2 linked regions of the Oryzias latipes genome follow. The protein of the gene in region 2 binds, or shares a complex with, the protein of the main gene of each other region. Links are inferred from orthologs where the notes say so. Each region holds a gene or a part of one and is shown on either strand. Other genes may lie near its edges.

Region 1 (3,819 bases), on a different chromosome or scaffold from region 2:
CATATTGGTAAACAGAAACAGCAATTTGTTGGTTGATTACTATTGCTAAGATTTACTGAAACTACCGTTTGTTATACGCTTACCTGCTAAATGAGTGTATTTCTGAGTGACGTTACTGCGCCATTGTTTAACAGTCCATTTTAAACTCAGTTTTTATTTCAAAAGCAAGACAATGAGGGATGAGCAAGCTTTTGCTGAGTTAACCCTTGTGCTATCTTAGATGACCCCACCCTTACATTGACGTGTTCTCCCTACCATGACAAAGGTGGATAAAGGTGGAAAGATTTCATGTAATCCATGGACACCAGTGAAGATCACAAATCATTTGAGAAAAAAGGTTCAGAGCACTGTCTAGTAGTGGGTCTAGATGACCCAACTCCCAATGGTAAAGGGCCTTAGATAGCACAAGGGTTACTCTCAATTCTTGGTGATGACACAGGTATAAGCCTTCTTTTATCGCGTTAACAGAGGGTTGTTGGGGATAAAAAAACAGCCTACACATGCATCAGACAATACAAACGTTGGACTTCTGATCCTATACTACACAACTTAGCAGTTTGTCTCTGGGGAATCAGTGGGCATAAAGGGTTTAATATTGAGCAATGGAAAGTCAATGGGTGCGCTTGTCAGAAGGCTGTGCGATGTCGTTTTGAGCGCTGCTCTTTTTTAAGAACAAGTGTGTGTGTGCAGCTGTATCTCTGATACTGCCTTCATTGTGGTAGCCAGAGGGTGAAGCAGATCCAAAGTAATGGGAATACATTAGAGAGCGATTCATGCAGTGTAAAAAGAGGAAAAACAAAACCAGAGAACTGCTGGAGACAAGTAGAGTTGTTGAAGTTTGTCAATGATACAGTCTGATGTGAAGCTCCTGGCAGAAACTTTCCTGTGAATATTTAATTAGAAAGTTGTGGTGCAGTGTTAATAATGCGGGTATGAGGCTAAATTCTCCTAGAGAGCAGAACAATAGTGCTGCAATTACTTCATGACACTTTTTCAGCAAACATTTGAATTTAGCAGGTTTTAGACAAATGGAACATGAAAGGAGACGAGAGTTAAAGTCTGAGTGTAGAACTGAGGAGCGTAACCTTTGAAATCTCACTGTCTTTAACCTAATTTGAAAGTCATTCCTTCATATATAATTTCACTCATCAGATGGGGGAAGGTTCGACGTTTTTACACATACCTCTCTTCCCGGGGTAAACAGCTGGGTAGTATTCGTAATACAGGTCTGGCTGATCCAGGTTGCCAAAGGGTTCAAACTCTAGCTCAGCATTTTGGAAAAGGTTCAGCTTGGTGAACAGAGCCAGGCGTACAAACCAGAGCTGGAACACACAGAAAATCATTCTAAACTGTTGGTAAAACCATTTTCCAGCCGGTGTTATCAGGCAGACAGCACCACTGTGGCATTTTCCATACAAACATTTCACATAGAAATGGGTTAAAGAGGTTCATATATCTGCGTTCTCTCTGAAACGTCCTGAATGTTTCAATGCATCATTATTTAAAGGGTCTATATCATGCAAAGTCAACTTTTATGAGCTTTTAAGTGATTTATAATGTTTATTCCTCATGAAAAACAACCCCAAAGTGGTACTTTGATCCATTCACTCATTTCTAAGTATTCCACTAAAAACCTGCTCTCTGAGGACCAGCCCCTCCCAATCCACAAAAATGAGCGGGTTCATTGTCACATTGTGACATCACAAAGTGAGAACCCGCCCCTTCCAGGAAGAGAATTTTCTGCAATCCCCTCCCCCAGTCTAACACACACGCCCACTTCCTCCGTGGAGCTAGTGATCGGCTAAATGCTTCCATTTATGAACAATATGAACATCCATCTTTGGAAATGTTCAGATGTGTTGTTTTCATGGGAGAAACTCAGACACTATGCTGAGGCCAACTCTAGGATGATGTCACGAAATGGGCGGCACCCACAAGGAGAGAAAGGCGGAGCCTCAGAGATCCAGTCGTCTTAGTTCCAGGTAGGAAAATGAGCAAAAATAACTCATATTTCACAAAAGAATGGTTCTTTAGTGGGTCAAAGGTCATATATGATCATAAATGTGGATTTAGTTTACTCTAAAAGACTTAAGAAAAGCAGGATATAGACCCTTTAAAGTAATCAGTAGAAAGTAGCATTCAAATTCAGTCAAAAATTCTAGACATGTCTCTAAATCAGACAGGCATCTTCTAAAATAGTTTAACTATTCAGGTGTGGTAGCTAACAACATTTTGTTCCAGGAATGCTCTTAGGTCTACTGCTGGACGGGTTCTATTTCCTACTAAGAAGTAATCGCATTACTAGGCAGCACAACATGCGCCTTGGCTTCATTCATCTCTCCTGCCCACAGAAACACAGCACTCGAGTGGCGGGAAGACAGCGAGATGGATGGCTGCAGAGAAACTGCTGGCATCCTACCTGCAGAGAGTCGGTGGTGTGAGACGCCGCTTGGCCGGCCTTGCCGTATCCTTGACCATGAGCTGTCAGCAGCCGTCCCGTCAGATCCACTGCTGCTCGCCAGTTCTTGCTGCTCTGCAGGGGGCAAATGCATTGCATGTTTGAGACCTGCTGACCGGTGGAACAACAGCAACACATTTTTTAGAGCGCTTAAATGCACGGATACCTTGTTTTCCTGTCATCAGGGCACTTTTCATTTCATGTCTTCATTCTTTTCAACACTGATTGACCCAAAAACAAAGTTTCTAAGACTAGCGTGACCGGGGGACATAAAACTAAGGTTAAAGCAACAGAAAAAGAGTTATTCAAAACTAAAGCAGAAAATGGATTTGCTCATCTCCACTGCAAAATCCACAACGAAGGGGAAAACGTCTGTATGCACTCCAGATAAAGAAAAAAGTGGTGCTGATTGCTGAACAATCTGTTAAAAAATGACAGCAATGAAGGTCAGCGCTTGGGTTCAGCGGCTCTTCTGAAAACCGTCATCAGTTAGAAACCTGAGTTAGAAACAGAGAACACAGACAAACACGATTCAGAGAGTTGTGTGCGTTCTCTAGAACCACCTCTCCTGTGAGCTGATTATAAATGGTGCTGCTGGAGTTCGGACGAGTCAGCACAGACTTGGAGATCCCTAAAGGCATCGCCACTGTAACTGAAGAGAGTGATGGGGAACAGTGAAAAACTTCCATCATGAAACCTATATATAACCTGTAAAACCCCAACTGATGACATATCATCTCAGTGATTTGTTCAAAGCTGGACTTGGTAGAGATCCTAACGGTGAACGTCAGTAAACAGAATGATCAAACTGTGGTCCAACCACGACGGCCATCAATGGAGGCATACGTGGACTTTGTTAGCTACCTACAGATTCAAATGATAATCAGAGGGACACATCGTCTCAGCTCCATAATTTATGGAGCAACCTGGCAACTAATCATCTAAAAAATGAAGAGGATTTCGATATATTCCTGTAATCCCCTGATTCATCTTTAATCTCCAAAAATACTTCACCTCTTGGAAAACCTGGAGCTCATGCAGTATTTGAGTTGTGAGACAAAACTGGCCTTCTTCCAGGTTGTTAGGATTTGAAAACTGCAAACAAATGAAAAAGATGTGTACAAGCCACAACAGCAGAAAGTATCCAAACTCACAAACAGACACAAAACCAGATATTAGCAGCATCTGCTTTCACCAGAGGCGGCACAATCAACGCGGGTGGCGGTGTGGTGGAGAGGAGGGCGTGGAGTCACCTCACCCTGTCAACACACGCGACAAGGTCGGCTCACCGACTGGGTCCTCAGCACTGCGCCATTCATCACAGCCATGTAAGCTAATTAGAAGGGAAGGGGACGCCAAAT
Region 2 (4,553 bases):
AAGTGAGTAACACAAAAAAGTGATCCCATTTTGACCGCAGAAAAAAACAAATCTGTTTTTCTTGTTTGGCCCTTAAGATCTAGCAACCACAGGTTGTTGCCACATGTTTACAACGACTTATTACATACTGTATTTTCCGGACTATAAGTCGCTCCGGAGTACAAGTCACACCCCTTGCCAAACTATGAAAAAAAGGGCGACTTATAGTCCGGAAAATACTGTAATTTGGCCAAACACATCCAAGAACTGCAAATCTTACAAAGTCCTGGGGGCCAGATATGATTGATTCTATGGTAGGAGCCTGCGGGCCGGTAGAAACTTGAATGCGGGCTGCGTTTGGCCCACGGGCCAGACTTTGTACATACGTTTTAGACCACTGTCAATCAACCTCCTCCACGCCATGTCTCCTGTACAGAATGCATGCAGCTCTTCAAATTTTACAATCCTGGACTTATTTTTCTATGAAGGTTTGACCTCTGAGAGTTTAAAGAAGAGAGAAAAGTGTGAAAATGTTCAAGTCTGTGGATAAAGCGTGTAGTGAGTAAAGCTAAAAGTATTTTGGTTGTGCGTTGGTCTGAGGGGGAAATGGTTTTTGCACTCCTGTCGTTTTTGCGTTGGACTGGCGTCTTGGAACGGTTGATGCCTTCTGCGGACGAAACGCCGTTTTCTTCACAGCAGAAAGATTCTCGGATTCGTCCATCATTGCAAGTAAAACTAATATTTCTTTAGGTCAACAGGACATATTATTTAACTTGGTGACAGCAATCGAAAACCATTTGTCATTGTACTTGTGCAATGACAATAAAGCTAATTTATTCTACCACAGCCTCATAGTTACAGATATTTTACATGTTAGGTTCCCAAGATAGCGCCACCCACAGGACAAACAATACAGTTCTTCTCCAACACATACAGTGCAGTGAAGAACACAACTGTTATCAAATGATTTAGTAAATGTGACATTTTATGTCCCCCTTCATCTCAGATGCTTGATTAGTGTTTCTTCACAAAAGAATCTTTGTGATTTTGCTTAAACTGGACATTTGTGCGTGTAAATTTATTAAATCTTTATGAGAGGCAAGACATTTTTTTAATGTATATTTATTACTATCAATCCTGTTTTAACAAATGAATATTATGATTAAGTGAAGCACATTTTCATTTATGACTTTTAATAAATGTATATTTTTTAATTTAAAATGTTTTTTTTTTTTTCATACATAAAGTCACATTAAAAGGACGTCCAGATAAAAAAATCAAACGTTTCCACAGACGCACGTGCTTATGTACGTCTTAGCGGGACACCAGCCTTTGCTGCTGTTCCTTCTTGGTGTCAGTTTGGTCTCTGAATGCCCTTAGGTGAGTTGTGGTGTCATGAATGCAGCCCTGCACCCCACTGGAACTTTCACACCTTTGTGCCACCTAATCTATAGCTTCACAACCAAAACCTCAGTGCAGTCTCCTCAGCGCCTTTACGGTTAAAGTTTGGCTAGACTTAATGTCATTATTGAGGTTATAGCTGATGCAAAGGCATGTCGGTTTGATTAAAACTGCAACGCAACACCCCCGTTGACAGCTTTGGGTTAAATGTAGTTTTGTCGCCATCACCTACCTGACAATTTCCACTTTCGTCGCACATTCAGACTGTTTTTCCTTCCACTGCGGGTCATCCCAGTCCAGTTCGTAAAACAAAACTACCAGAGCAGGAACCAGGTTCAGATGCTTGTTCATCCAGCCTGTTTTTAGGATGCCTTTGGGGATGTACCACTCGTAAGATGTCCGCTAATTAAGAAGAAAAACAAAAATCATTTACCTTCCTAAATGAATTCCTTTCTTTAAATCTCAGTAGGATTGTTAATCCCTGAGAAAAGTAATATTTTTAAATGAACTTTGCACAGATTCGTCACCTTGGTGCGACATTTGGGATACTCGTGGTCTCCTGCGAGCACTTTGAAAGAGATGGGGACTCTGTCAGCTCGACGGTTGGCACAGAAAGCGTCCCAGATGGCCCGATGCACAGCATTGTACACAACATCCAGACCAGTCAGAGCCACAAAAGCCATGGGCCGGCAGCAAAGCTCCGGGGGAAGGTCCCACTGGGAACCAGCCATCCTTATGCTTTAACAGACACACCTGCACAAAACAAACACGATCTCTCTATAATGGAGCCCCTGCAGAGGAAGCTTAAACATGTCGTTTAGTCAATGAAGCAGAAAATAACACATACTTTTCATTTATGAAACCTTAATGAGTATTTTGCAAGAAAAATACCGACTAAATAACATGCACCTATGCAAGAAAAACTGAAAATAAATAAATAAACAGACGTAAATATTATCCAGCAGCAGGTCACAAGACTTGGACTTGGTTAGCAGTCACTTAGCTTCTTAGCTTCTTAGCTTTGACACTTGTTTACATCTACCGGTGTTGAGCTGAACTTAGCAGCTCCCATCGAGGCTTCACGGAGCGCAGGGATTATCTGCTGCTGAGAAACATCCTCCACAACACGGACCGAGTAGCTGTCATTGAATATTTTTGAACCACCATCCGGCCAATATTATAAAACACAAACGCAGAGACGAAAGCGGAACTAAGCAAACAGGATAACGCTAGCAGAAGGCGATGCTAACCGTTTAGCTCAACGGAAAGGCGACTCAAAATTGCATGTCTGTGAGAGAGAACATCATGGACGCGTTCCTGGGGAGCTTACCTCAGTTGCATTGCTAGGTGAATTCGTGAAAGCAGTGCAGCAGCAGCAAGGCTCAGCTAATGGGCTAGCTGTCAGCGGCTCAGGAGTGACAAGCTGGCTAGTAGTAGTGGGCGAGGCTGAACATTTCCTTGGCGAGTATTTAGTTCTAGTTTCCGGCCGCCCAACTTCACAAAAGCTAGATTCTAACTCTATTTACCATTAGAACGCTAAACATTGCTCTGACATTATCTGTGAATCAAAAACTGACAGCGGATTTAGCTGCGGTTGCTGACGAGACCAGAAAGTCTCCAGCTAGTTAGCTTGTTCTGGGAAACTTGAACTGCACATCCGGCTTGGTTTTTCAAAATAAAACGAAGAGCCCTTGTATTTTCCTGCAGAAAAGAAAAGCAACATGGAAAAGGAGTAAAAGGAAAATAAAGTGCACAAACACCAAGTAATGAATGCAAATGTAAGTTTTTTTTTATATGGATTTATAGCAAATGCACATATTTGCTTAATGTAAAATGTTCCACAGTTTTCACATTTGTCTCTGTCTTGTCCTCTCAGTCAATGATCAGACTGTTTAACTATGTGAGGTTACTATTTTTTCCCCCCTTATAGCAATTCTTTTCTTCCCACTGTCTAATTTTGCTTGCCCAGCAACAAGGAATATGCATCAAGAAAACCCTTCAAGACAATGTTTGACACATATGGCCTGTTGTTAAAACACAATTAAAACAAATGAGCTTTATTATACACAATTTTTATTTTATAATAATAAAAATCATGATTCATTTAGCCTAGTTGAATGTATTTGCTTTTTGTAAAATGTCTCAAGAAAACCACAGTTGCAATTTGATACTTAAACCAAGTTGAATAGAACAATACAATGACGAAAATAGGAAATTTAAACAGGTTTGAAGATCCAATCTGATTAATGAAGAAAAAAAAAGTAAAATGCAGATTATGTTAGAGGTGAGCAGCAGCATTCTGTCCGGGATACCCGATGCCTTTCTCCAACTCCCTCCTCTCTCCTGTGGTCATTGTTGCAGCAACACAGTAGAAAAATAAAATCCACAAATCCTCCAATATTCCACATTCAGTCCTATAGATCTCCTCATAAGCCAAAGTGTGGCTGAAGCATCCAGAAGAAAGAAGAAGACAAACTTCTCCAGGCGAGAGAGAAGCAACCAGAACAATAACGTCATTTTTTCCTTTCCACTTTCGGCTTCTCCCATCAGGGGTCGCCACAGCGAACAAGTCGCATGGTAAATTTGGCAATGTTTTACGCCGGATGCCCTTCCTGACGCAACCTTCTCAAACCGGGCTTGGAACCGGCAGAGGTAGAGAAGGGAAGAGGGAGCAGCCCGGAGTCGAACCTGGGTTTCACGGACGGAAGGCGCCGCAAACCAGCACGAGCTAAACTGGCTCAACCAGAACAATAACGTCATAATAAAAAAATTTGTGAATACATTTTTTAATGAAAACAATACATAACTAAGAAAAATAAATCTGTAAAACAATTTCCCTCTATCCCTCTATCTTTATTTTAGGATTTAGGAAACAAGAAAAACATTTTACATAATAGCAAAAATATCACAAATTAGTTGAAGGCCAGATATTAACATTCAATTAAACAGACTGCCATAAAAAAAGAGAAATAGCACAAATATAAATTCTAATAAAATTATATTTATTTTATAAGTAATGTTTATATTATTTTTATGAATAAATACATAAAATACATTAAAAGTTATGTAAATTATAAATACTGACAGATGGAATAATTTTATTTTTTGTGTATTTCTTTGGTCAGAAATGTTGAAGAATTATCTGATGGGAAGTTTGATTTTCAAAAAAGTCT

The links.
Region 1: trappc11 (region 2) and trappc12 share a complex: the UniProt entries of both Homo sapiens proteins name them as parts of the multisubunit TRAPP (transport protein particle) complex. The link is inferred for Oryzias latipes from reciprocal best matches to the Homo sapiens genes TRAPPC11 and TRAPPC12.

What each region holds. Positions count from the first base shown.
Region 1 is NC_019880.2:20,778,737-20,782,555, reverse strand, and holds part of trappc12 (trafficking protein particle complex subunit 12), read right to left. Parts: intron 2,534-3,819; coding exon 2,420-2,533; intron 1,323-2,419; coding exon 1,184-1,322; intron 1-1,183. UniProt on the Homo sapiens protein: Component of the TRAPP complex, which is involved in endoplasmic reticulum to Golgi apparatus trafficking at a very early stage.
Region 2 is NC_019868.2:27,368,537-27,373,089, reverse strand, and holds the start of trappc11 (trafficking protein particle complex subunit 11), read right to left. Parts: upstream 3,037-4,553; 5' UTR 2,711-3,036; exon of another isoform or gene 2,631-2,710; intron 2,134-2,630; 5' UTR 2,112-2,133; coding exon 1,908-2,111; intron 1,783-1,907; coding exon 1,613-1,782; intron 1-1,612. UniProt on the Homo sapiens protein: Involved in endoplasmic reticulum to Golgi apparatus trafficking at a very early stage.